7 linked regions of the Canis lupus familiaris genome follow. The protein of the gene in region 6 interacts with the protein of the main gene of each other region in a pairwise test. Links are inferred from orthologs where the notes say so. Each region holds a gene or a part of one and is shown on either strand. Other genes may lie near its edges. The genes, in order: MLLT10, TUBB, AKAP9, ROGDI, RANBP9, DISC1 and STX18.

Region 1 (4,005 bases), on a different chromosome or scaffold from region 6:
CATATCGATGCCTTTTAAGAACATTATTGTATGTTCAGAAATTAATTGTTGCCATTCTCCAAAAAAGAATTTGCATTGTATAAGTACGTAATCTTTTAGTCTTGTTCTCTCAATGAACTGACAGCTACAAGAGAATTCCCATTTTTGTGTGTCTCTTTAGTGCATACTTTCCCTTACACCTTTAGATTTCCATTACTCTAGATATCTCATTTAGCTTTTAGAATGTTTGAGTATATTTGCTAACATATGCTTGCATTGTCTAATATCTAATTATTAAACAGATTTCTAGCAGTTAATTTATTAGAAATGGAAAAAAAAAACAGCCATGCTACCATTCTTTTTTCTTTATGAGAACATTTGGGATGTTTTTAAAGATTAAACCAGTCATCTTTTGGTGACTGACTAGGAGAACTCGGGTTCCTTCATCCTTTAGCATCGAATAACTGTATTTTCCAGATCTTCACATTATATTGCTAATTCCTGATAAACAACCATTTTGTACCTGCAAGTTATTAACCAAAGCCATGAATTCACCTTGTACGTATGCCTGTCATTTAAACAATGTATATTCCTATTTCATGCCAAACTTTCATAATTCTACACTTTTTGCCTAAAATCGATGTTGGGCTTACAAGGATAGATACATAGGGGATAGGGCAACAGTGGAAGATTTTACAGCTCCAAAGTGCACAGTATCTGGTTAATTAATCTATTCAGATAGGCCTAATCCATTTTCTATTCGTATGTGAGGAGAGAGCTCCCATCTTTTTGCCACTTAAGTCACCTTAAAAAAAAAGTGACCTTAAATTTTCAAGAGTAAATTTGGAGTACAAGCCAAATCAGAGAACTCCCTCAGTCAAACCTGGACTTCCCTGTCTCGGGGTTTTATCATTTGGTGACTGACTGGAACTTGGGTTCCTTCATCCTTTGGCATCACATTCCTGCATTTTCCAGATCATCACATTATACTGCTAATTCTTGATTAACAACCATTTGTACTCCCACACAGCAACCTGAAGGTATCCTTGGTGGTTGGTGTTCCCTGTTGGAGTGTTACCCTAACCCAGGCTTTTGACCTTCAGTCGGCGATGCACTTTCATTTGTCATTGGGGCCAGTGTGGTGTGTAAATGGGCTGCGGATTCTGGTGGCAACTTCCACTGCGTGAACTTTGGGTAGAGTCCAGGATATGTGAACGTAATGGGTGGAGAAGCTGCGGCAGCACTGTGCAGCGAGCGCGGCCAACTGCAGGAAGCCATGCTTCACTGCACCCTTCTTGGAGGCTGGCATACTGGCCCTACCCCTGCTACCCACGGGCCAGGGAAGAGCCCGCAGGTAGGTTCCCAACGCAGGGAGACGCTCGGGGGGAGTCAGCCCCCTCCGGCCACTCACGGAAAAAACCCCTCCCTCCGGGTCTCCGGCGCCCTCCTCCCTCCCAGGCCCCTCCGAGCCGCGCACGCTCGGCCCGCGCGGCCGGCGCTGCCGAGGGCGGCCCTACGTCCCCGCCCCCGCGTGCGCGCCCCCGCCACCCCTCGCCGGCTCGTTCCGGCCTCGGCGCGCCGCCGGCGCCGCCTGCCCCCACCGCCTGGCACACCTCGGCGGCTGCGAGCGGCGCGGGGGAGGGGAAGGGGCCGGGAGGTAGGCCGGGGCTGCGGGCCGGACGCGGCGGCGCGCACGCAGGCCGGGCCTCTCCCGGGCCTTCTCCCTCACGCCGGCTGCGGGGCGGGCGCGCACGCCGAGTGACGCTCGGAGGAGGAAGCGCAGCCCCCTTCCCCTCCCTGGCTGCCCCTGGCCCAGCGGGAGCCCCCCCAGTGCGCCTGTGCGGAGGCCTACTTGATTATGTGTGCCCTCTCCGGGCTCCAGCGTTAGCGGCCGGGTGGAGGTGGGGAGGGAAGAAGACGAGGAGGCGGAGGAGGCGGAGGAGGCGGTGGAGGGGAGGTGGGGGGAGTCAGCAAGGACATGGCTCCTGACTCCTGTGCGGAACGTGAGTGACTGAGCGGCAAAGCCCGAGTGAGCGAGCGGCCGAGCGGCGGGCGGGGGCCGGGGGCGCAGGGAAGGGAGCGGGGGTGGGGCGGCCGTGCGGGGGGGAAGCACTAATTGGCTTGCATGTGTTTTTTAATGGTCCCCCCAACTCCCTCTTAGATGGTCTCTAGCGACCGGCCCGTGTCACTGGAGGACGAGGTCTCCCATAGTATGAAGGAGATGATTGGAGGCTGTTGCGTTTGCTCAGACGAGAGAGGCTGGGCCGAGAACCCGCTGGTTTATTGCGACGGGCACGGCTGCAGCGTCGCGGTGCATCAAGGTAAACACCCAACCGCCCGCCGGGCCGAACCCGGCCTGCTCCCAACCGTCACCGCTTCCCCCACCTTGGCAGCAACTGCCAGTTCCCCTTCCGCCCCTCCCCCCGCCCCGCCCCCGCCCCCGCCCCGCTCCGCGGCCCGGGATTGACTCGGAGGGTCCGCGGCGGGGCGGAGGGGGTGTGGGCTGTGCATGTGGGAGAAAGTGCGTGTGGCCTGGACTGTCATGTGATTCTGCGCTCACTCTCTCAAGTGTCATTTGGCCGCCGCCTGCGCCCGGGAGCCTTGGGGCTGGAGACTTTCCGAGGCGGTGGAGGCCGGGGGTGGGGGTGGGGGTGGGGCGGGGTGGGGTGGGGGGTGCGGGGTGGCGGCCTGCGCTGCTGGGGCGGCGGGGGCGTGGGGGTGCGCCCCTCGGTGCTGTCACTGTGGCCGTGGGCCCGGGCTTGGGATCGTGGAGGCCCCTCCCCCTTCCCTGGCTGCTCCCGTCTGCCGCAGTGTGTCTGGAGACTTCCTGTGGCATCGAGTCTGGCTCGGGAATGCCGCTCACGGCGCCGGGGCGGGTCGCCGAGTCGGGGGGGGGGGGGGCGGAGGGGGTTGCCGGGGCGCTTCAGGTTAGGGAGGGGAAGCGCCGCTGCTGCACCCCAAGCTTTCTGGCGGAGACCCTGCCGCTGCGGATTGGGAGTTTGCTGCGGAGAAGACGGTGGTGGCCTTCGGTCGCCGCGAGGTTGCTGCTGCAGGAGTGGCTTGGCTGAGCTGCCCTGGGCTGCTGGATGAGGCTGTGGAGGCTGCGTCTGGCGACTTCCTCAGCCCAAGTGACTGAAGAGAAGAGGAGGTGGTGGAGCGGCCAGGGACTTGGGGGAGCACTTTAGCTTATTTCTGGGTGTACCCATTCGGTGAGCTTTCGGGATACTACAGAAAAGCCGGAGGACACCAGTAAGAGTTTTTGGCCATTGAAGTTTCTTTTTCTATGTCAGGTGGTAAGGAAACAACTTAGATAGTTCTGGGGTGGCTCTTCTGCTTTCCCTTTTACTCATTAACCCATCCTGCTTACCATTTCTGAATTTGGCATTGAGTGATGCAGAGATTTAGTAGTGTATTGGGAAAGATATTATCGAATGAGAAAAACTGAACATAAGGGGCAAAAGTTTACTCTTTATAAAATGAAATCTCAGAATGGGTAAGGGAGGCTTAGGTGATAGTGGGTTCATCACAGTGCAGTTATTCCCATTTGTGTTTTGATGAACACCTTCGTCAAAAAATTGGATACCTTCCCTTTTTTAAGGAGTGAGAGCAATGTATGTATATAGATACTGATTTTAAGGTTTTTAGAGCTGATACAAAGCTTTTCCAACACAGTGTTCATTGGCATTTGTGAAGGTATTTCTTAACGAATTGGATGCTAAATTATCAAGTTTGATTAATGTCATCTCCCAGTATAGAAAACATTCATTTAAACATAGTTTTTTTTTTGTCTAGAAGTAGTACTTCTTGATTACATTAAAATAAAAGTTTTTGGACATTGATGCAGTGTTTCTTGACTGATAGGACTTTTTTACACTGATATATTTACAAATTTTATTTTATTATTTTTTAAGATATTTATTTATTCATGAGGGACACAGACATAGGCGGAGCGAGCAGCAGGCTCCACATGGGGAGCCTGATGCGGGACTCCATCCCAGGACCCTGGGATCACAACCTGAGCCAAAG
Region 2 (2,061 bases), on a different chromosome or scaffold from region 6:
CCACGTCTCCATTTCTTCATGCCTGGCTTTGCACCTCTAACCAGCCGTGGAAGCCAGCAGTATCGGGCCCTCACTGTACCTGAACTCACCCAGCAGGTCTTTGATGCCAAGAACATGATGGCTGCCTGTGACCCCCGCCATGGCCGTTACCTCACTGTGGCTGCTGTCTTCCGTGGGCGGATGTCCATGAAGGAGGTAGATGAGCAGATGCTCAACGTGCAAAACAAGAATAGTAGCTACTTTGTGGAATGGATCCCCAACAATGTCAAGACCGCTGTCTGCGATATCCCGCCCCGTGGCCTCAAGATGGCAGTCACCTTCATTGGAAATAGCACAGCCATCCAGGAGCTTTTCAAGCGCATCTCAGAGCAGTTCACAGCCATGTTCCGGCGCAAAGCCTTCCTCCACTGGTACACAGGTGAAGGCATGGACGAGATGGAGTTCACCGAAGCTGAGAGCAACATGAACGACCTTGTCTCTGAGTATCAGCAGTACCAGGATGCCACCGCAGAAGAAGAAGAGGATTTCGGTGAGGAGGCTGAAGAGGAGGCTTAAGGCAGAGTACCATCACCTTAGGCTTCTCCATTCCCTCTTCCTCAGCTGCCCCTATCCTCTCCCTCAGAATTTGCATTCTCTGCCTCTTATTTTTTTTTCCCTTTTTTTTGGGGGGGGGGGTCCTAGAACAGTGCCTGGCACGTAATAGGCGCTCAATAAATACTTGTTGTTTGTTGAATGTCTCCTCTCTTCCACTCTGGGAAACCTAGATTTCTGCTGTTCTGGGTCACCCTGTATTTTCTTTTGGTGTCCATTTTCCCGTTTGTGCAGTTGATATTTCCCTTTGTTTTTTAAGGTGATTCACTGAGAAGCTGGGTCTCATTAGATCCCATTTAGAACATGTGCTGAAAACATCGCCACCATCCTAAGCCCATGTGGTAGCCCAGGGGAAAGGAAACCAAGCTACCTCATAGCAGTAGAGGTACATATCGAGAAGGTAGGGTTTTCTATTCTAGAGCAGTTTTAGAGAGGGAAATCCAGGCTCTTGAAGTCCAAATCCAGGAATCTTCCTGCTCTCAGCTTCAGGGGAGATGTTGACAGTATTGTCTATTTTTAGTCTTCTTCCAAGCTCTGTCCTGAGCTGTTTCTTTTGAGGGGTCTGTGCCACTTTGTTGAGTGGGATCCTTCCCTCCTACATAAACTGCTTCACGTGTTCGATTTCTTCCTTTTCCCAGGGGAAAGAGGGACTGGCCTTGATCCCTAAAGTCTGGAAAGGCCCCCTCCCACTCCCCACTTTTTCTTAACAAAACTCCAGCTCTACTGTGTACATATAGAAAAGTGTGTATTGCCACCTAAATCATTTGAGTCATTCTTCCAGAGGGGACAAGGAGACCCTCCACCTTTTGGCAACACCTCAGCTCTTCCTTCTGCTATTCCCTTTCCCCACACACCCTTGATTTTTGTCCTGTCCTACATTTCAAATTTCTACTTTGTGTTGAACTTGCTTTTTTTCATATTGAAAAGATACCATTGCCCCAAAAGCCAAAAATAAAAAAACTGAAAAAAAGTTGCGAGATGTGTGCTCATTTAGGGAAAGATTGCCATTGGACAACCTGAGGCTCAAGTTCAGCTACGCTTATACTCTGCTCTTAATAAACTGATGAGAATATCCTTGTACTTAACCTTATCCTGGTAGAACTATTTCACCATCCTCACTACCAGTCTCAATAACTAGGATAGGCATAGACTCCTACAGGATTGACAGAAATGGGAACTGAGATGAATGTTGAATAGTGCGTAAGTGGCTCCCAGATGAATAGCCTCTTGGGAACTTGTGTAGAAATGCAGATCACCAGGCCTACCCAGATGTACTGAACCAGAAACCAGCTGACTAGTAATCTGTTTAGCAGTACTCCAGGAGAATCTTGTGAATGCAGAGTTGAACGCTATTATTGCACTACTTTCAGTGCACAGCACATCCAGGATTCATTTGAGTTATGGGTCTTGCTTTTTTCTCTTACACCTTGGCAATTTTCTCATTTAACTCCAGGGAAAGATAAAGATAAC
Region 3 (3,500 bases), on a different chromosome or scaffold from region 6:
TGCATTTTATTTCCAACACTTTACCTAGAAATTGCCATGGACACTCTGACGGCTGACCGAAACCTGGTGAAGCCCCTTGGACGATTGGTGATCACCTCTAGGTCTGTGAAGGCTGGCTGTCCCCCCATCCGGGCCAGCAGAGCCAGGGTGGCATCTTCACATTCCTGAAACCCACCCAGTAATAGCAGCAGGTATTTCTTCTGATAAATGAGCGCTTTCCGAAAACTTTCTGCCCTCAGGTATTTACCATAAATTCTCTATGTTAAAAAAAAAGGGGGGAAGAACATAAAGACATTATTGAAAAGCCATTCAAATTGTTCTCTAGGGGAAGATAACATAGATTTTATTTTACAAAAGTACTAGTAGTGGAATGGCAGATATCCTACTACTGTTTTCCATTTGATCAGCAAAGTTGAAGATAAAGATAATCAACCTTAGATTTTACATTTCTGCCTCTTTTTAGTCCATGGAATGTGACTACAAACCTTATACTTAGGTTTGGGGTTTCATTTTGGAGTTTAGGCTCTATTCATCATATTCATTGCAAATATTTTTGTCATTCCATTATTATCTCAGTTTTTTTCTCCTCTAACTGCGTAGAGCTACTTTTATTATTACGGTCGCTAATCTTTTTTTTCTTTAAAGTTTTCAATGTTAATGTTCTCTGTCTCTTCAAGAAGCATAAATTTATGTTCACTCCATAGTTAAAAGAAATATTCCAAACATGTTTCTTTCTGTTTTGGATTTTATGTTAACAGATTAAAAGCAGTTTTAACTACAGTATTCATTTTAGTCAGGAGAAAGGCAGTTCAGAGGGTTTACCATCTTACAGAACATGATGCTCTGGTATTGAATGTAGTAGAGCTTTTGTTGGCAGTAGAAATGAAACTTTCTGTTGGTCTTCAGGGATGAAATGGTGGGAAGCAGGACCGTGAGCTCGCGGTGCTGCCAGTACGGCATGCCTTGCCACCAAGTTTTTGTGACCAGCTGGAGGCCTGTACTCATGATGCACATCGAATAGTGAGAGACCTAGAGGCAGCCTGAGCGCCACCTAAATTTCTTTACTCTGTTCAGTTAAGGTTAGTGAGAGATGAAACAAGGCAAGAGGACCAGCCTTGGTACATGTTTAGATGGAAGATGTCTCCTACCTTTATAGCAGCATGCTCTGAATCAGGGCTCAGGTTGTGAAGTAAAGTTTCATTTCTTAGTTCAGCTTTCAGTTTATACACTTCAGCTTCTGCTCTTTTCAAGGATTTTTGGAGAGTCAACTTTTCTCTGTTCCAGATTTCTTTTTCAGAAGCAATGATGGCTTCAATGCTGGCACCACCACTGAATGAAAACCTGGAAGACTGCAGAAACGAGAGCCCACTTACATGAGTTTTAGGAATAAGTCTCTGAAGAAAAATCTAAATTAAACACATTAAAGGTATCCCCTATGGGATCTCAGCTTTCCAATCTCAGAGAGGGAGAGTTCAACAGCGATCTCAATTGATAGTAAAGAATATACATTAAGTATATGGTCCTTTGCTTAGTAGATTAATTTTAAAACAAAATCTTTATGGAAGCCTCACCCAAAAGACAGTGCTTAGATTTTTGCAGAGCTTTGAAATATAAAGTCTAGAGACTTAATAAATAGACCGACCATCTGGGTTCAAATGTAGAGCCTAACCCTGAAACAGCGCCTTGGGGGAGTGCGGAAAAAAATCCCCGGCTATACACAGGGAAGTGGATCCATGCAGAAGCTCTGTGGATGTGTTATCCTGTATTTGTCTCAGGAGTCCTTTCTATCTTTATATTATATTCCTATCTTTATATTACAGAAGCTAGCAATTTATTTTGTAGTTTTTAACTGGAAAAAATTTTAAATAAACTGCTAGAGTGGTTTATTAGACTGAAATAAATAATTTAATGGCATCTTTCACTTGAGTCACAAACATAATAACTGATAATTAACTGATGAGGAACAGTCAGAATTCACATTTGAACATTTCTTAACATGGACCCACTGGTGGTTCCTAGGTAGCAAAGTATCTGGCTTTGGAGATAAGCAGTTCTTGATTGGACTACAGACTTCAGTTTTCTCATGTGCAAGACTGAATGTGGATTAAAGATTCTGAATGTACAGAACCCAGGATCTGGCCCAGAGAAGGCCCCCAATAAATGATATCTATTATTATTATTATCATTATTATTGTCATCTCTCTACCATTTTTCAATGATCTTACTAAGAATCAGATATCTAATATTTTTATATTAGAGTTAAAAATTGAAACTAGAGAGTAGAAATTGTAACTCAGCAATATTTCTAACATGGTCACACTAAAATCAGACGTACATAATCTCTGCCAGCTCCTATCTGTCGATACCGCCTGATTTGTTCTTCTAGCTTCATAACTGTATTTCTCAAATCATTCTTTTCTTCTGTCAGTTGGCTGATATGTCCTGTCAGCTCAGCATTTTGTCTTAGCAGTCTTTCAGTCAACGAGCCACAAGAAGTACCAGGGGACACTAAACCAGGCTAGAAAGAGAAAATGGTACTAAGGTCGTGTAAGCACAAATGTTTATGAACAATGCACATCAACATGTGAGCAGACGCTGAGAACACCAGATTTCATGATGAAGTGGTGCTTGAACTGAGTCTTAAATAACTAGGAAGCATTTCATAGGTAGGAAAGAAGATAGGGAAGAGCATATTAAGCAGAAGGAATAGCATGTGTAAAGGCACAAGGGTTTTGTTGGAGAGTGTGTTGCTTTTCAGGAGCTACAGGTTGCTTGGTTACGTTAGAGTAAAGGCTGCCTTCACTTTATAGATAATAGACCTAAATGGAGGCAGCAGAGAGCCCTAAAGGCTTTCAGAGTGTGCTACAAACAAAATTTATGTCTTAAAATATTCCTTTGGGGGCACATGAGTGGCCCAGTCAGTTAAGCATCTGCCTTTGGGTTGGGTCATGATTCCAGAGTCCTGGGATCGAGCCTGTGTCAGGCTCCCTGCTCAGTAGAGAGTCTGCTTCTCCCTCTCCCTCTCCCTCTGCCCACCTCCTGCTCATGCTCTCTCAAATAAATAAATAAATAAAATCTTAAAAAAAATTCCTTTGCTAGCAGCATGCGAAGTACAGTAAATTAGGGAAGATAGATCCTGGTGTCAGGTGGACACATCAGGAAGTCATTACAATAGTTTAGGTGAGAAATACTGGAAGCCTGAATAAAGGCAATGACTAAGGGCACGTGGGATATTTAGGAAGTAAAAGCACAGGACTTCATTACTACTAGGATACACAAGTGAGAGTGAAGGAAGGTAGTCTAGGGTGACTTCCAAATTCCCAAAGTGGGCTCTATCAGGACCAGAAACATGGGTTGGGGACAGAAGGAGGAAAAAAAGAAGATGCTCAGTTTAGAATGTGCCTGTGAGGTTCCTAAGGGGTCACTATGAGGCGCATTTCCCCAGAGAAAGAGTTCCTGTAACTAATGGAAAATATAAATCTGGATCACAGGATAGAGGT
Region 4 (4,292 bases), on a different chromosome or scaffold from region 6:
GGTTCCTGGCATCCTGGATCTGAAAACAGTGCCCACCGAGAGGTCAGCGGGTGGGGCCTCAGGAAGATGAGATGCCAACGTCAGAGCAGCCACGGTCTCCGGTGCTCTAGAGGTCAGGCCGTCACCTGAGGGGCCATCCTCCTTGGAGGCGTGGGTTGGCTACCGCCTGCCTGACCCATCCCTACCAGCTATCAGCTCTGGGCCCTCCAAAAGCCAGGCCCTGACTGGGTGCTAAACATAACAGCACAGACCGTGACAGGCTTGCCGTTACACAGCTCACCTTCTAAAAGAGAACAGATGGCAGCAGAGTAAAGGCACAAGATAACACCACACTGAGTGACTTGCACAAAGAGGGTGAGTCTGCAGGACGGTGTGTGTGTGGGGGCTCTTTTCACCCAAGTGATGAGAAAAGCAGGGAGAGAGGGCTCCAAGGCAAAGGCCCTGGGGCAAAGACCAGCTGGTCCAGCGAGGGGGGAAGGGGCAGGTTTCAACCACACAGGAGTGGATAGGGAGCATGGATGTGGCCCCCAGGAGCCACTAGAAGCCCCAGGAGGCTCTGGGAAGGGGACAAGGACCCCCATGGTTCCTATGGGGGTCCAGGGGCCTACAGACAGGATAGGTTTTCCACCTCCCACAAGCCGCAGCACTCCCTGCCCCAGCTCTGCTGCTAGGAAACAGCCTCCCAGGCTTGCTGCGGCCTGAAATCCCCCAGGGCTGCCCTGGGAGGCCTCTGTGCTGCTCGGGCCTGCCCCTGCCTGCCCTTGTGGCTTGAGCCTTGGCCGGGGAAGGGCCCAATTACCTGCTGCAGCTTCCACTGCTTGTCCTCTCGGAAGGCAAAGTGCAGCAACTGGTTGTTCCGCGGGATCTTCAGGTTCACGTCCTGACGGGCAAGAGTGTATAAGCGGAAGGACACCCTCCTGCTTTCGGCCACCCCAAGCCTTGAAGCAGGGGGCAGAGACGGGTGTGTGTGCTCAGGTCCTGGCCATTCCAGGGGGCAGGAGATCTGGCCATTTGGGGTGTGCACAGGGAGGTCAGGAAACAGGAACTCAGGCTCCAGAGAAACCACAAAGAAATGAAAGGGAAAAGAGAAAGGGAAGGTGGCCTCAGCCGGGGGGAGGTGTGACTGTGGGCAGACAGGACCCATGGGTCCAGGCCAATGGACTGGAAGAGAGGCACCTTCCCCCACATCTTGGCGCCTGGCACGGACGGGAGCTCAGATGTTGGCGGATTCCACTTTGAATTGGGGCCAGCCTAATCCAGCCATTGCCCACGCTTCACTGGGCCCAGACTCAGGGCCGGGCTGTGTGCAAAGCATCCTCCTTCCTGTCCCTCTCATTGAAGCCACACGCCAATTCCATGAGGAGGTTTGGTGGGGTGGGTTGTTATTTTACAAATGAGGAAACTGAGGCCCGGAGAAGTCAAGATCCTGCCCAGGGTCACAGAGCCAACTGGTGGCAGAGCTCAGCAGGAGGCCCCCATACTCTTCCCCCCTGGATCCTCCAGCAGCAGGGAAAGGGAAAGAGGGCTGGGGGACTCACCGCCTGGCTCAGCGCGTCCCCTTGCAGAGTCAGCACGCCCTTCACCTGGTCTGTGCTGCAACACGCGGGGGTCAGAGCACTGCTTGTGGCCGCCTTCTGCCACCACCTAGCCCTCCCCGCAGGCTGCCCCTGGCTGTCACAGGATGGCCCAGCCGGTCCCACAGCACATGTGCACCCTCTGGATGTTGGGCCTCTCCTGGAGGGCATCCCAGGTGTCACCCCTCTCGTTTCTGCTCAGCCCTGGCTCACCTACAGCTGCCAAGGATGAAGTTCTCCTGCTTGGCAGGCCCCTCGGTGGCGGTACCAGAGCTCGGCAGAGTGAAGCGTAGAGAGGCCTCCTGCAGGGACAGAGGGGAGTAGGGTAAAGTTCACCCAAGCCGGCTCACCACCCACCCCTTCCAGAAGCCCCGTTCCTGGGTTGGCCAGGGGAAAGAACAAGGTGGGCTAGTTTCACCCGAACACCCTATCCAAGCCTCCGGGGCACCTTCCCTGTTTCCCCAGCCCCTCCCCCGCCACCTGAGTTTCAGGTCCTACCAGAGCGGATAGCTGTTCCTTCCACATTCCCTGAACACCCACCTCCTGCCCAACTCAGGGACATAGGACAGAGGTGGCCCCCTGGCTGGGGAGCAGAGTCAGGGAACGACGCTAGTCGTGGCAACCTGAAGTTCTGGCCATAACAGGCAATACCTGGGCATTTCTAGGAGTTGGCTTATCCTCACCACAGCCCCGTGAGGCCGGTACTGTGATCTCGTTCTTGCGAAAGGGAGGCCCCAAGAGATTGGGTAAGATGCTGGAGACCTTGCGACCACAGCTCCAAAGGAGGCCTTCCTCGACCCCGACCGCGACCCCGACCCCGACCGCCCGGCCCGGGGCTCATTCCGCTCCCCCCTCCCACCGCAAACGCAGCTGCTTGTGGTTAGGTGGGCAACTACGCAGCGGGGCCCGACCGGCCGCCGGGTGCCCGGGGCAGGGCCTGCTGTGCCCGCTGCGCGTCGCGGCCCCGGCCGGCGCTCGGGGGCGGGGGGCGGGGGGGGGTCTTACCTTGAGGATGTCCTGCAGCTGCCTGAGCACCGCGTGCACCTCGTCGTGCAGCAGCCAGCGGAACTCCTCCTCCTGCGGGGACAGCCCGGCCGTCAGCCGCCCGCCGCCCCCCGGAGCCCCCGCCGCCCGCCCGCGCGCCTCACCAGCACCGCCCGCTCTGCCGCCGTCGCTGCCATCGCCGCCGCCATCCCCGCCGCCCGCCGCCCGCCCGAGGCGGGGTCCGCCGGCCGTGAGTGCGCCCGCGGCGTCCGGGCCCAGCCCCTCCCCCGCCGCCGACCGGCCGAGCGGCCGCCCAGGGTCAAGCTGCCTGCGGCGTGGGGCCGTCGCCGCCACCCGCCTCCGAGCTGTGCGAGGGGCGCCGCATCCACCTCAGCTCTCCGACGCGGGCGGCGGCCGCTTGTCCCGCCCCTCCCTGGCTCTGATAGGGCGCCCTGCTCCGCTCGCGCTCACTGATTGGCCGGCGGGGTGCCCGGCTTTCATCGCCCCTGGCGATTGGCCGGCGGGGCAGCCTGTCCCCGCCCGGCCCCGCCCTCCGCGCGCCTGCCGGCAGTCCCAGCGCGGCCCCCCCACACGGCGCTCGAGTCTGGGCGCAGGCGGTGCTCACTGCCCAGGTAGTCAGTCACAGTTGTGTTACCAAGAAACGTTTTATTTTGCTTGCAGTAGCTTTTTGTTAATTGCACAAAATCATTTTTTTTTGCCATTTAAACATCACACAATCCTATTCTGAAAGACAAATGTTCATTAAAAACAAAGCAAAAATAAAAATTCACAACCTTAATTACCTAGATTTTTGTCATTTAAAGGTGTAAAGGAAAAAAAAAAAAGGTTCGCGGAACAGGGGCTTTCTTACAAGTTTTCACAAGTGTCACATTTTCTCCTAAAAGGGAAGGATTTCAAAACAAAGGTGAAATAGCTTAAACAGAAATACTCATAAAAAGAAACTTTACAGAATTGTCAACAATATTAAGACAACATTGACTAACCAGTTTCATTACAGCATCTCCCCCACCCCCCACCCCCCCAGTGTCCAGCTAGGACTAGAACAGGCTTTGTGTTCAGACAGAAAAGAATTCCAAATCCCAGTGAAGTTATGCCAAAAACCTGCAGGCATCTTCCCTGCCCTCCCCCTAGCCTGGATTTCTGATCAGTGGGAAAGGGCCATGGTTGTGAGGGGGAGAGGCCCACACCAGTGTGGTCTCATTCTGTATATTCACTAGAAATGCTGACCTGCAAAGCGTGACTTTGGAAAATGCAACCCATGGACGAGGGAGAAAACGTTGACATCCTTCAAGTGACTTCTCCTTGTTTTTATGCCACATTTGAAGCCGGTCTGGTCCCCTATCCAAGGAGAAATGTTAGGGTCTCAAGGACGTCTTAGCTCCAACCTTCTAGGGTCAGATAGTTCAGATTGGGTCAGGCCCAGTTCTCTTCCCTCCCGAAAGACCCTGGGGCTCTGGAAGCATCGAAGACCATGCTTCTGGTTGAAGTGAAGACACTCGTTCCGGTTTCAAGAGCTGGCCATCAGTTGGTCAGGCTGGGTCTGGGCCAAAGGACAGACAGAAAGAAACACTGTCTCCATGAGAAGAGGAGGAGCAAGGGAGAATGAAGAGGTGGGCAGGTGGGGAACATGTACAGGAGCAGGCTGGAGAGAGTGGGACTGCTGTGAAGGGATCCAGTCAGAGTGGCTCTTCAGAACCAGGTGGAAGTCTGCAG
Region 5 (3,500 bases), on a different chromosome or scaffold from region 6:
AATTTGTCATTTTTACATGCACAGTTCTATGGTATTAAGTATAGTCACACTGTTCTGCATTTGTCAGCAACCAGCCATCTCCAGAACTTTTTTTCGTTATCCCCAGAGAAACGAACTCCCCATTTCTCCCTATACCCAGCTCCTAGCAACCACCATTTTACTTTTCTGTCTCTGTGAAATTGAATTTGACTACCCTGGGTACCTCATCTAAGTGGAGTCATAACATATTTGTTCTTTGTTACTAGCTTATTCCTAATAGCAACATGTCCTCAAAATTCATTCATGTTACAGCATATGTCAGAATTTCTTTCATTTCAAAGGCTGAATAACTGATAGACATTTGGGTTGCTTCCACTTTGGTTATTGTGAATAATGCTGCCATGAACAGGAGTGTACAAATATCCACTGGAGTCCCTGTTTCCAGTTCTTTAGGGTATATACCCAGAAATAGAATTGTTGGGTGTATATATATATTTCATATATATACACACACACACACACACAATATATATATACACACACACCCACACACACACTGTGTATATACTTACATATACCTTGTGTGTGTGTGTGTGTATATATATATATATATAATCTGTTTAATCTTTTGACAAATTTGATCCTCAGAATGCTATAGCTCTGTGCCATTTTAGTCTCACCATGTACAAGGATTCTAGTTTTTCCACATCCTTGCCAATACTTTTCTACATCTTTTTTTTTAAGTCTACATCTTTTTTTAATAATAGCCATCATAATTTGACTTTTTTTTATTGGCCTTCTGAATCTTTGTTATTTTAAAATTCACGTGTTATTAAGCTTAATATTTCACCTCTCTGATGTACCAGAAACCCTTTGTAAGCCAAATGTCAAAATTGTTTTGCTTTAGAGTAAAATTTTAAATATGTGGCTCATTTTGGTTAAATGGGAGGCTCTTTGCATCATGTGTACATTAAACACATCGTGTTCTTACATACTATTTTACTTGTTATCGAGTGCAAATATTATTTGATTAAATCATTTTAACTCTGAAAATAAAGTCCATTTTGATTAAATTATAGCCATAGGGCAGCCCGGGTGACTCAGTGGTTTAGCGCCACCTTCAGCCCAGGGCCTGATCCTGGAGACCCTGGATCGAGTCCCACGTTGGGCTCTCTGTATGATGCCTGCTTCTCCCTCTGCCTGTGTCTCTGCCTCTCTCTCTGTGTGTCTCATGAATAAATAAAATTAAAAAAAAAAATTATAGCCACAGCTAGGTTTTCATTTTCTCACTAAATCTTGATTAAAGGAGATACAGTGTCTTTTGCTTTATATGCTGATTTTTCCAGACACTTTTAAATTTAAGCAGTACATAATATGAAACCATAGTTAATATTTTTAGCATACTGTCTAAAGGCCATACCTATTGATAAATACCAGTTCTTGGGCAGCCCCGGTGGCTCAGCGGTTTAGCGCCGCCTGCAGCCCAGGGCATGATCCTGGAGACCCTGGATCGAGTCCCACGTCGGGCTCTCTGTATGATGCCTGCTTCTCCCTCTGCCTGTGTCTCTGCCTCTCTCTGTCTCTATGAATAAATTAAAAAAAAAAAAAAAGATAAATACCAGTTCTTAAAATATTTCCTCTTAGAAATCTGTTTTTACTAAATAAATAAATAAATGTCTATTTGAAATTATCTCAGTAAATTTTGTCTTTTCTTTTTTTAGAGTGCGTCAGTTTATAGAAATGGTGAATGGTACAGATAGTGAAGTACGATGTCTGGGAGGCCGAAGTCCTAAATCTCAAGACAGTTACCCAGTTAGTCCTCGACCTTTCAGTAGTCCGAGTATGAGCCCCAGCCACGGAATGAACATCCACAATTTAGCATCAGGCAAAGGAAGTACTGCACATTTTTCTGGTGAGGCTCAGTTTTATGACAGTACTTTTAAGTTTTTACCCTTGTTTATACTTTTGAATCCCCCCAAAAAATAAAGTTTAAAAAATCTGGACATTTCCATGTAGCTGTTTCACACATGTGCATACTTGGTCTCAGGACGTTCTGGAAGAAAAATTGTAAAGTGGGTCAGATTCGTGTGTTGTTACTACCAAGAGGGTAACTTGGAGTAGAGCTGTTTCTGAGAACAAGTTATAAGCAGATCTTCATAAACAAAGGTCAATATTCGGGTTGTCTCTGGAAATTAAATTGTAGACATTTGGTAAAGATAAAAGGTAGCTCTGTCGGAATGAAGCATCGGTGAACACTGGCGCCATGGCCATGGCGGCTTTAGTCCACCGGTCAGCAGGCCTCGCTGGGCTGCCAGCTTTCCTCCCCTCCCAGCTCACCTCCTGCCAGCATCTGCTCTGCCCGGCCCTGTTCCTCCTCGCCCTTCCTAACTACAGTTCTCTCCTTTCTTGGCTTTTATGCCGTCACTTCTGTAGATTTAGTTTCTCCCAGCCTTCTTTCTTTGCTTGTCTCGTTCCATTCTTCCCAAGGCATTCTGTGGCCTCCTTATGTTCAGCTTTCGAAACAAGTCAGACGCTGTTTCCTTTCCTTTCATAGACCAACACCTTTGCTTTTGCTCAGTTGGCATATACCTTTCTACATTCCTGCCTCTTGTTTTATTTACATCGCCATCCTGTACATGCACACGATTCTCTGGTTTGTGTCCTTCTCCCCTTCCCATCTAGAATATCATACATTCACGCACGCACGCCCAGCTTCTTGGCTTCGGTGGGTTTATACGTGAGATGAGAGCGATGAGAGCACTATTCCCCTGGGGGGGGGGTGTTGTGGGGAATAAATAAGATCCATAATTAAGCCTCAGTAACTGTTAGAGGAGATGCTAATTATTAGCCTACAATGAACATCCTTATATCCTTTCAAAGAAGTTATCTGTTTACTATCTAAGTCATGCATTGACTTCCCTACATTAGAAGAATTTTAAATGCAGGATCAGAATCTGGGTACGTTATTTGCAATGTAATAATAAGTTGGTGTGTGTTTCTCTGTTCATACATCTTTTTCTGTTTTTTTTTCCCCTAGGTTTTGAAAGTTGTAGTAATGGTGTCATATCAAATAAAGCACATCAATCATATTGCCATAGTAAACACCAGTCATCCAATTTGAACGTACCAGAACTAAACAGTATAAACATGTCACGATCACAGCAAGTTAATAACTTCACCAGGTATGTGACCTCCCGAGCTTACGCAGTACTATAAACCACCTAAGGATAAGTGTCTTCGTTTTTAACAATTTAGAAAAATTGCATTACATGGTCCATCAGGGGGGTCTGAGACTTCCTAAGCCCCAGAGAATAAAAGGGCATGGAGTAAGTTCCCAGAGTTTTTCAGTCTCCCCGTGTGCACACAGCCTCTTTCCTTTGTTCCTTTCTCTGAATCTGCAGCCCTCTGCCCTCTGCGGGGGTCTAAGAATCCTTTCTGGGCTCTGCCTTCTTCTGGTTTTCCTGCCGGCACAGGCCTGTACAGATGGTCACATAGATGCTGTTCTTATACTTCCAAGTTAA
Region 6 (3,500 bases):
CCACACTAAATAGATGCAAGAAGAAACAGGTGAAGTTAATTTTACAATATATTTAATGCAACCCAGTTCATCGAAAATATGATCATTCCAATATGTGATAAACACAAAAATTATAGAAATATTTTGCACTCTTTGTTTTCATTCGAAGTCTTTAAAATCTGGTGTGCGTTGGACAGTGTCAGCACGTAGATAGTATATGTGATTAGGGGCCATAGGACGGGACAGGGCAGGCCTAAAAATAGCAGTTTGGCTTTGGGTAAAAGCAAAATCCCCAACAGAATGTAATTAAAACAGAAACTTACTTTAGGGACCTAGTTCCTCTGACCCGCCAAAGATGAGAACAGCTGGCGGCCACTTTGTGAAATTTCTTTCTCTGGACAGTTTTGTAGCTCCAAGGATTTCAGTTTCTTCACATCTGTATTAACATGCATATTGTACTTTAAGGGCCTGCAGTGATGACCCCCATACCACCCCCAGGATGGAGCCGAAGCTGTGGGAGCCCACTGCTCAGGACACCCTGCGTGTGTCCATCACCAGACGAGACTGGCTTCTTCAGGAGAAGCGGCAGCTGCAGGTGAGCAGGGGAAGGATGCTCAGAGAAATGAGAGCTTTGGCCAGCCACCCGTGAAGTCCAAAAGAGAGAGATGGGTGGAGTTGGCTGGAGGGCTGGTAGGAATCTCATTCCACAAAGAGGGGTTGAAAGCTCAGCGGTGTTTGTGCCCATTTTCAATATTCCTCATTACTTTTTGAATATGCTTTCCTTGTCTGCCAGGCCAATTTGTCACCTCTGATCATTTTGATCTTTATGAGGTTCTTTTGAAAGGCAGGAAGAAATGTGTTCTGTGAAAATCCTTCATGGAAAATTGTATTGAGTTGAAGTGTGAGGAGCAGTTGTCAGGGGGCAGAGTTGTAAGTGTGGGCTGGGCAAGGCTAGCGTGTCTGGGAAAAACCAGTAGATATCACATGAAAGTTCCAGATTGGCCCAGAGTGGTGGCCAGGAACCACTCAGGGGCCAGAAGTCTAGATGCAGCACAGAGTTAAGGCAGGAGGCTATCAGGTGCTCTGGAAGTGGACTCCCCCTGCCTGAGGCAGGGACCCTTGAAGTTGGGTCCATACGACCTGGAACCTACGGTCTCGAGACAGGAATGGAGGGTAACAGGGAGCATCTATGGAAGACAACGTGACTTCCAGGAAGAGTATGGGTCTTGAACACCTGAGTGCAAATCTTGGTTTAGGTTCTAAACAATGGAGTGAGTTTAGACTGTTTTATGGGCTTGGATGAGTTCTTGGACTGCCCTCCCATCCCTACCCCCTGGTTCAGAGTATTCTTATTACCTGAGCTTGCCCATCCAAGTCCCCATAACAGCAAGGTGGCAAAAGCCATCACAACTTGAAAATATTCTCCAGTAAACTGAATACGTCTATATTCAGTGAGTATCGTCCTAAAAGTTTGTGTTGTGATGTATGGGGTTCAGGAGCGAAGGGTCAAGAAAGAAATCTTGAGATGTCTTTGGTGCAAAAAGGTGGTTTTATTAAAGCATGGAGACAGGACCCATGGGCAGAAAGAGCCTCATTGGGTTTGAGGAGTGACTGATTATATGCTTTTAAGTTGGAAGGGGTTTGGGGAGAGTGTAAGTCTAAGAAATTTGGAAGCAAGGTTTCTAGGACCTTGAGGAGTCATTTACTGCTAGTAAATTCTTAGTCATGAAACCTTTCAGATGTATATCAGTGGGCCATATGTTTGGAGGATGATTAATAACATATATCTTTGTTGGGGGGTAGAGGTAAAGGAAGTTTCTGAAGGGATTTTTATATGTTAAAGAAGACTTACAGAATCCTGGAAGTCAAGCTAATGTCAAGCTGGGGTTGCTTTTTGCCTCTAGCAAAGTATTCACGTTGAGGCAGTTGAGTTCCTGGAGGAAGGTCACCCTGCTTGTCTCAAGTACTTGTCAGTGGACTGCAAAGGAAATTTGATTATTTTTCTTATATGTCTTTTGCTTTTGTTCTCCACATCACTTTGGGTAGCTGAAAATGTGAAATCTGGCTTTTGGTTTTGAACAATATTTAATATTTACAATATTAACAATATTTGAAAAATATTTACAATATTTTTCAGTAGCCTGCATAATTCCTTATGATGTCAGAATGTACAGAAAATAGTTTTAGACTGGGATACTTAGTGTTTGAGGAGAATGTTCTCAGCAGAACTCTGGGGGAACGTGAATATTCATTTATTCAGCAGGTGTTTGAATGCCTCTTATATTCCAGATACTGTTTGAAATGCTTAGGATTTCTGTGAAGTTGATGTTCTAGTAGAGGTGGGCATGGGGAGATAGATAAGAAATGGCAAACATAATTAATTCTCAAGTTACGTCCTTACTATGTTGTAAGGTGGTAAGAGCTATAATGCATAAGCTAAGATCAACCCATTGTGCAGTGAGATGGAAGCCAAGGGAGCAGCCACATGAAGGCCTGAAGTGGGGATGTGCCTCACATGTTCAGAGGGCAGCCAGCAGGCCAGGGTATGGGAGAATAGTAGAGGACAAAGTCAGGGAGAAACGTCTTGGAGGACCTTGCACACCTTTATAAGCACTCGGGCTTCTGTCTGACTGCAGTGTGGCCATTGGAAGGTTTTAAGCAAAGCAGCAACATAATCTGACCACGTTTTAAAGAATCACTTTGACTTGTGTGTTAAGAATTGGGTGCTGGACCACTGTGGAAAAGCACGGTGGGTCTTCACAACGTTAAAAATAGAATCATCATGCAATCAAGCAATTCCACTTCTGGCTATATATTCAAAAGAATTGAAATAAGGACCTCAAAGTGATGTTCAAAACAACATTTTTCACAACAGCCAAAAGTGGAAGCAACCCAAGTGTCCATCTACAGATGAATGGATAAGCCACATGTACTCCATCCACACAATGGAGTGCTATACAAACTTAAGAAGGAAGGAAATTCTGACACATGGTGCAACTTGGAAGAACCTTAAGGACATTATACTGAGTGAAATAAGCCGGTCACAAAGAAGGCAAATACTATGCTTCCACTTATATGAAGTTCCTAGGGATTCATAGAGACAGAAAGTAGAATGGCAGTTGCCAGGGGTTGGGGGAAGGATGGGGTAAATGGGGATCTGGAGTTTTGGTTTATAAGATGAAGAGGTCTTGGACGGGTGGTGCCAATGGTTGCACAGCAATATGAATGTACTTAATGCCATGGGACTGGCATTAAAAATGGTTAAGATGGTGAATTTCATGTTACATGCATTTTCCACAGTTACAAGGAAAGAAAACAATAGGATACGGGCAGAGGTGGAGGATGGGAGGTTAGTTGGGAAACAATGCCAATGATATTGTAACGATGGACCAATGGGAGACATATTATCTTCTTGGAGCATCTCAGGGGTGGATCTTCAGTCCCAACCAACTAAGTCTCTACCCTCAGCTCAAACTGGAAATGGGGTCAGGAGGTAGAAGTTTTAGGTGATCTGTACTTGG
Region 7 (3,500 bases), on a different chromosome or scaffold from region 6:
GCAGGGGCAAAGAGAAAGACACAAGATGGCTAAAACTGCCAGCCACCCAGCATTATTAACAGGAGATGGGCTGGAGCACAGATTCTGAAATAACAAGCAACCTGGACCCCAAGTGCAGCTTCGTCACCTCCTGACTATGGGACCTTGAGTGAGTTACCCAGCTTCCCAAGTGGCAGCCTCCTCATCTGGAAAATGAGGATAAGAATGGTACCTGCCCCACAGGGTGGTTGGGAGCTAATGACAAATCTAGTACAAATCTTTGTGCCTGGCACAAAGGCAGTGCTCCATAAGTCCTAGCTACAGCATTTTGTGAAAAAAATCCAAGTACCATATGTTGTAAAGCATAAGGACTCTATAAACATTAGTTGCTATCATTACTATTATTAGTTAAGGAACACCAGCAGAGACGATACTTACAGTCTTTTCTTATCCACCACTCGTTTAACTCGGATGGCTCTTTGTTCTGAGTAAAGTTTACATACTCCTGTTGTAGGGGAAAACACCAGAACAGAGACCATTTAAAACCGCTTCTCAGGCAATGGTGTCATTAAGTATAAGGAGACACTACCGTCTTCAGCTAGCAAAGCTAAATGTTCTATCATCTATCGTGAAATGCCACATTTGACCTTTAAGATAAAACGAAATACTTTTTAAGTAATCTTCGATGAAATCCAGAACTGCACTCCTGTGCTCCTTCACTTGCTGGGAGTGTATCTCCTTGTGGGCTGGAAGAGAAAAGGACAGCAGTCAGACGTTTGTGTTCAATTACACAAGGAACAATTCATCAGCTTCCTCAGAACAGTTTCTTTATGGAAAGTATTTGTAAAAATACAGCAATAAAACAAGTCTGTGTCAAATGACATTACATTTTTAAAAGAGGAAGATTTATTGGGCTTCACAAGAGTAAAAGATTAAACTGCAGAAAACTATAGTCAAAGAATTTATGGTTTATTCCAGCACGCAGGGATCATAGTGGATGCTGCTGCTTCTTGAGAGCTGACCCCTTTTGTATTAACAGCATCCAATGCTTAAGCTGACCTTCAAGTAACACGTTTAAATCAGACTCAAGCCCCACGCTCCTCCTGCCTGTCTGGGCTGTTTTTCAGCTTGGAATGCCCTGTCTTCCCCGCTCAGCCACCCCCATTCTAAGGGCCCTTAACACACCAAGTCAAACCTTTCTTCTCAAAGAAACCTTCCTCGACTCTTTAGCCACAAGGATGCCTTGCTTCTGCAAACTATCATATCTGCTTAAGGTCTGTGCCATTTATTTTGGGAGGACAGCTCCCATTTACTGAGAGGCCAAGCATCTACTACACGCAGGCACTCTACAGTACTTTACATATATTACTGCTAATACAAAAGGCAATCTGGATGCCAGTTTACACAAAGAGAAACTAATAAGGTTCAGATTCAATAAGAAGCCCAAGGTCACATGGTTTGGTGACTTAAATGCTGATTTTAGTCATAAACACGTATTTTTAGGTTATTTCAATGAATGTATAGGCCCTTAAGGGTAGGGGACATGAATCATGGTTTTACTATTGGGCAGCTTAACCCATGATCATGTGATCATTCTGCATTCTGCAGATCCACGAGACTGTACACAAAATTCTGTGAGTGTGTGTATTTCTCTGGCAAGAAGGTCTATAGCTTTCATCAGACTCTAAGTGGCCCATCAGGGCTGTGACAGAAGCTTCCCAAATACAAGTTGGAGTCAAGAACATGGCAGCATCTGGCCACTTTGAGCTCTGTGCTATTTAATGTAACAGCTATCTGCCTAAGCACATTACAAAAGGGTCAAGGAAGATATGCAACTTGGGAAGCTATCTCACTGCCCCAGTAACAATGAGACAGCAGTGAAGGAGACGTGATACTAACAACCCTAGTGCCAGCTATGGCCCTAAGCATGCACTGAACACATTCATGCATTCTCCTAACTTTAAGAGATACACCCTATAATTGTGTCCACTTTTCAGATGGAGAAACTGAGGTCCAAGGTGACTGAGTGACTTGCCCAAAGCCATATGGGTAGAATGTGGTGGAGCTAGGGTAGGCACCAGAGCACCCAAGGGTCCAGAGCGCAACTTTTCAGCGTGCGGGTCTGCTCCTCAAGTTTCATGCTCCAGGTAGAGAGCTGAGAGAGCCCTCTTCTGTTCCGGTCCACACCTCCTAACTGCCACACAGAACACAGGGGTGTGCACAATCTGTCTGTTCTGGCCTTGTATCCTTAGGAAATGTCTCGTTGTGTATGAAGAACTCCTCTCCACCTCCCGCATCCCACCCATAGCCTGAATCATGGCCTTTTCATTAGTTTTTATAGCTGATCTTGAGAAAAGAGGAATTTTAAAGTTTTGAGACCTAAATCTGAATAGAAACACACAAGAGACCTCCAGCTGGGCATGCCCTCTGAACCTTGTCTGAGGCTTCACAAAGTCATGGTGGGCCGGCCATGTCCCTCAGAGCACCTCACCTTGTGTTCTCAGTTGCTGAATTGCTTCAGAGCAGGTCCTCATGAATGTCTGAGCATCCTGGTCTATCTGGTCTCGCTCTGTGTCTGTCATCCTTCCGTATTCAGACATGATATGGCTTAAAAAAAAAAAAAAAAAAAACAAGTGGGGAGGGGCACAAAATTTTAACGCAGCAGGAAATGACCACAAATGTTGTCTGGGTGGAGCGTGAAGGGAAGAGAAAGCTTTGCTATTGACATGACATTTACGCTGAGACTGGATGAAGAGGAACTGGGCAGGCTAAGAGGTGGGAGAAAATTCTAAATAGCAGAACCAATGGATATGAAGGCCATGAGGCAGAAGATGCTTTCTGTGCAGACCGACCTGCAGCAGCCAGTCCAGCAGCAGTGAGGTGAGCAGGGAGTGGGGTCAGGCACCGGGGCGTACAGGCCTGAGTGGGAATGTGGCCCCTGACTTTGAGAACAACAAGGCAGCTACTGAAGGCTCTTAGCGTCACCCAATGACAGACCTGGATTAATATTAGAAAGACGCTCTGGGTGCCACATGCAGAATCATGGGAGATTCTATCTGGAGGCTCTTGAGATATATGTGAGAAACTGTTTCAGGCTCATTTTTTCCATGTTGACAAGCGGTCTTCAAGACTCACAATAAAAGACCTTTTAGAAACATTTCATTTCTCCTGATGTTAAGTTAGAAAACTTTAATGTTACTGAGCTAGTGAGGGTGCTCACCCACACTAATGCACCATCCTGAAGCTCGAGATATGACAGTTAGAATGCCTTGCTTATCATCCTACAAGCTGGGCACATGTGCCAACATTACTATTAACAGGGATGCTGGCCGAGTATAATTAAACACTCTGGACATTATAACCGAAATTTAGAATCACAAAATATCAAGTTAAAAGGGACCTTTAATAATGTACAGACTCAACTCATTCCATTCCCATATACTAGCCCTGCCAGCTACTCACCCTCACTGAGAATAAAATACAAAGTCCTGGGGTGCCTGGGTGCCTCAGTGGTTGAGTGC

What was found.
Region 1: the proteins of DISC1 (region 6) and MLLT10 interact in a two-hybrid assay, tested with the Homo sapiens proteins (2 studies listed by BioGRID and IntAct). The link is inferred for Canis lupus familiaris from reciprocal best matches to the Homo sapiens genes DISC1 and MLLT10.
Region 2: the proteins of DISC1 (region 6) and TUBB interact in a two-hybrid assay, tested with the Homo sapiens proteins (2 studies listed by BioGRID and IntAct). The link is inferred for Canis lupus familiaris from reciprocal best matches to the Homo sapiens genes DISC1 and TUBB.
Region 3: the proteins of DISC1 (region 6) and AKAP9 interact in a two-hybrid assay, tested with the Homo sapiens proteins (2 studies listed by BioGRID and IntAct). The link is inferred for Canis lupus familiaris from reciprocal best matches to the Homo sapiens genes DISC1 and AKAP9.
Region 4: the proteins of DISC1 (region 6) and ROGDI interact in a two-hybrid assay, tested with the Homo sapiens proteins (2 studies listed by BioGRID and IntAct). The link is inferred for Canis lupus familiaris from reciprocal best matches to the Homo sapiens genes DISC1 and ROGDI.
Region 5: the proteins of DISC1 (region 6) and RANBP9 interact in binary tests that used the Homo sapiens proteins (3 or more experiments, as listed by UniProt). The link is inferred for Canis lupus familiaris from reciprocal best matches to the Homo sapiens genes DISC1 and RANBP9.
Region 7: the proteins of DISC1 (region 6) and STX18 interact in a two-hybrid assay, tested with the Homo sapiens proteins (2 studies listed by BioGRID and IntAct). The link is inferred for Canis lupus familiaris from reciprocal best matches to the Homo sapiens genes DISC1 and STX18.

What each region holds. Positions count from the first base shown.
Region 1 is NC_049223.1:9,418,538-9,422,542, reverse strand, and holds the start of MLLT10 (protein AF-10), read left to right. Parts: upstream 1-1,205; 5' UTR 1,206-1,255; coding exon 1,256-1,333; intron 1,334-1,562; exon of another isoform or gene 1,563-1,636; intron 1,637-1,684; exon of another isoform or gene 1,685-2,008; intron 2,009-2,140; coding exon 2,141-2,300; intron 2,301-2,918; exon of another isoform or gene 2,919-3,228; intron 3,229-4,005. UniProt on the Homo sapiens protein: Probably involved in transcriptional regulation. In vitro or as fusion protein with KMT2A/MLL1 has transactivation activity. Binds to cruciform DNA.
Region 2 is NC_049233.1:654,087-656,147, forward strand, and holds the end of TUBB (tubulin beta chain), read left to right. Parts: coding exon 1-555; 3' UTR 556-1,561; downstream 1,562-2,061. UniProt on the Homo sapiens protein: Tubulin is the major constituent of microtubules, a cylinder consisting of laterally associated linear protofilaments composed of alpha- and beta-tubulin heterodimers.
Region 3 is NC_049235.1:17,683,276-17,686,775, reverse strand, and holds part of AKAP9 (A-kinase anchor protein 9), read right to left. Parts: intron 2,519-3,500; coding exon 2,336-2,518; intron 1,350-2,335; coding exon 1,149-1,349; intron 258-1,148; coding exon 25-257; intron 1-24. UniProt on the Homo sapiens protein: Scaffolding protein that assembles several protein kinases and phosphatases on the centrosome and Golgi apparatus. Required to maintain the integrity of the Golgi apparatus. Required for microtubule nucleation at the cis-side of the Golgi apparatus.
Region 4 is NC_049227.1:36,909,306-36,913,597, reverse strand, and holds the start of ROGDI (protein rogdi homolog), read right to left. Parts: upstream 2,801-4,292; 5' UTR 2,768-2,800; coding exon 2,723-2,767; intron 2,652-2,722; coding exon 2,580-2,651; intron 2,382-2,579; exon of another isoform or gene 2,234-2,381; coding exon of another isoform or gene 2,226-2,233; intron 1,877-2,225; coding exon 1,788-1,876; intron 1,594-1,787; coding exon 1,539-1,593; intron 881-1,538; coding exon 800-880; intron 20-799; coding exon 1-19.
Region 5 is NC_049256.1:14,380,784-14,384,283, reverse strand, and holds part of RANBP9 (ran-binding protein 9), read left to right. Parts: intron 1-1,700; coding exon 1,701-1,891; intron 1,892-3,016; coding exon 3,017-3,161; intron 3,162-3,500. UniProt on the Homo sapiens protein: May act as scaffolding protein, and as adapter protein to couple membrane receptors to intracellular signaling pathways. Acts as a mediator of cell spreading and actin cytoskeleton rearrangement.
Region 6 is NC_049225.1:8,131,399-8,134,898, reverse strand, and holds part of DISC1 (disrupted in schizophrenia 1 protein), read left to right. Parts: intron 1-444; coding exon 445-574; intron 575-3,500. UniProt on the Homo sapiens protein: Involved in the regulation of multiple aspects of embryonic and adult neurogenesis. Required for neural progenitor proliferation in the ventrical/subventrical zone during embryonic brain development and in the adult dentate gyrus of the hippocampus.
Region 7 is NC_049224.1:70,441,725-70,445,224, forward strand, and holds part of STX18 (syntaxin-18), read right to left. Parts: intron 2,860-3,500; exon of another isoform or gene 2,704-2,859; intron 2,587-2,703; coding exon 2,471-2,586; intron 726-2,470; coding exon 648-725; intron 485-647; coding exon 418-484; intron 1-417. UniProt on the Homo sapiens protein: Syntaxin that may be involved in targeting and fusion of Golgi-derived retrograde transport vesicles with the ER.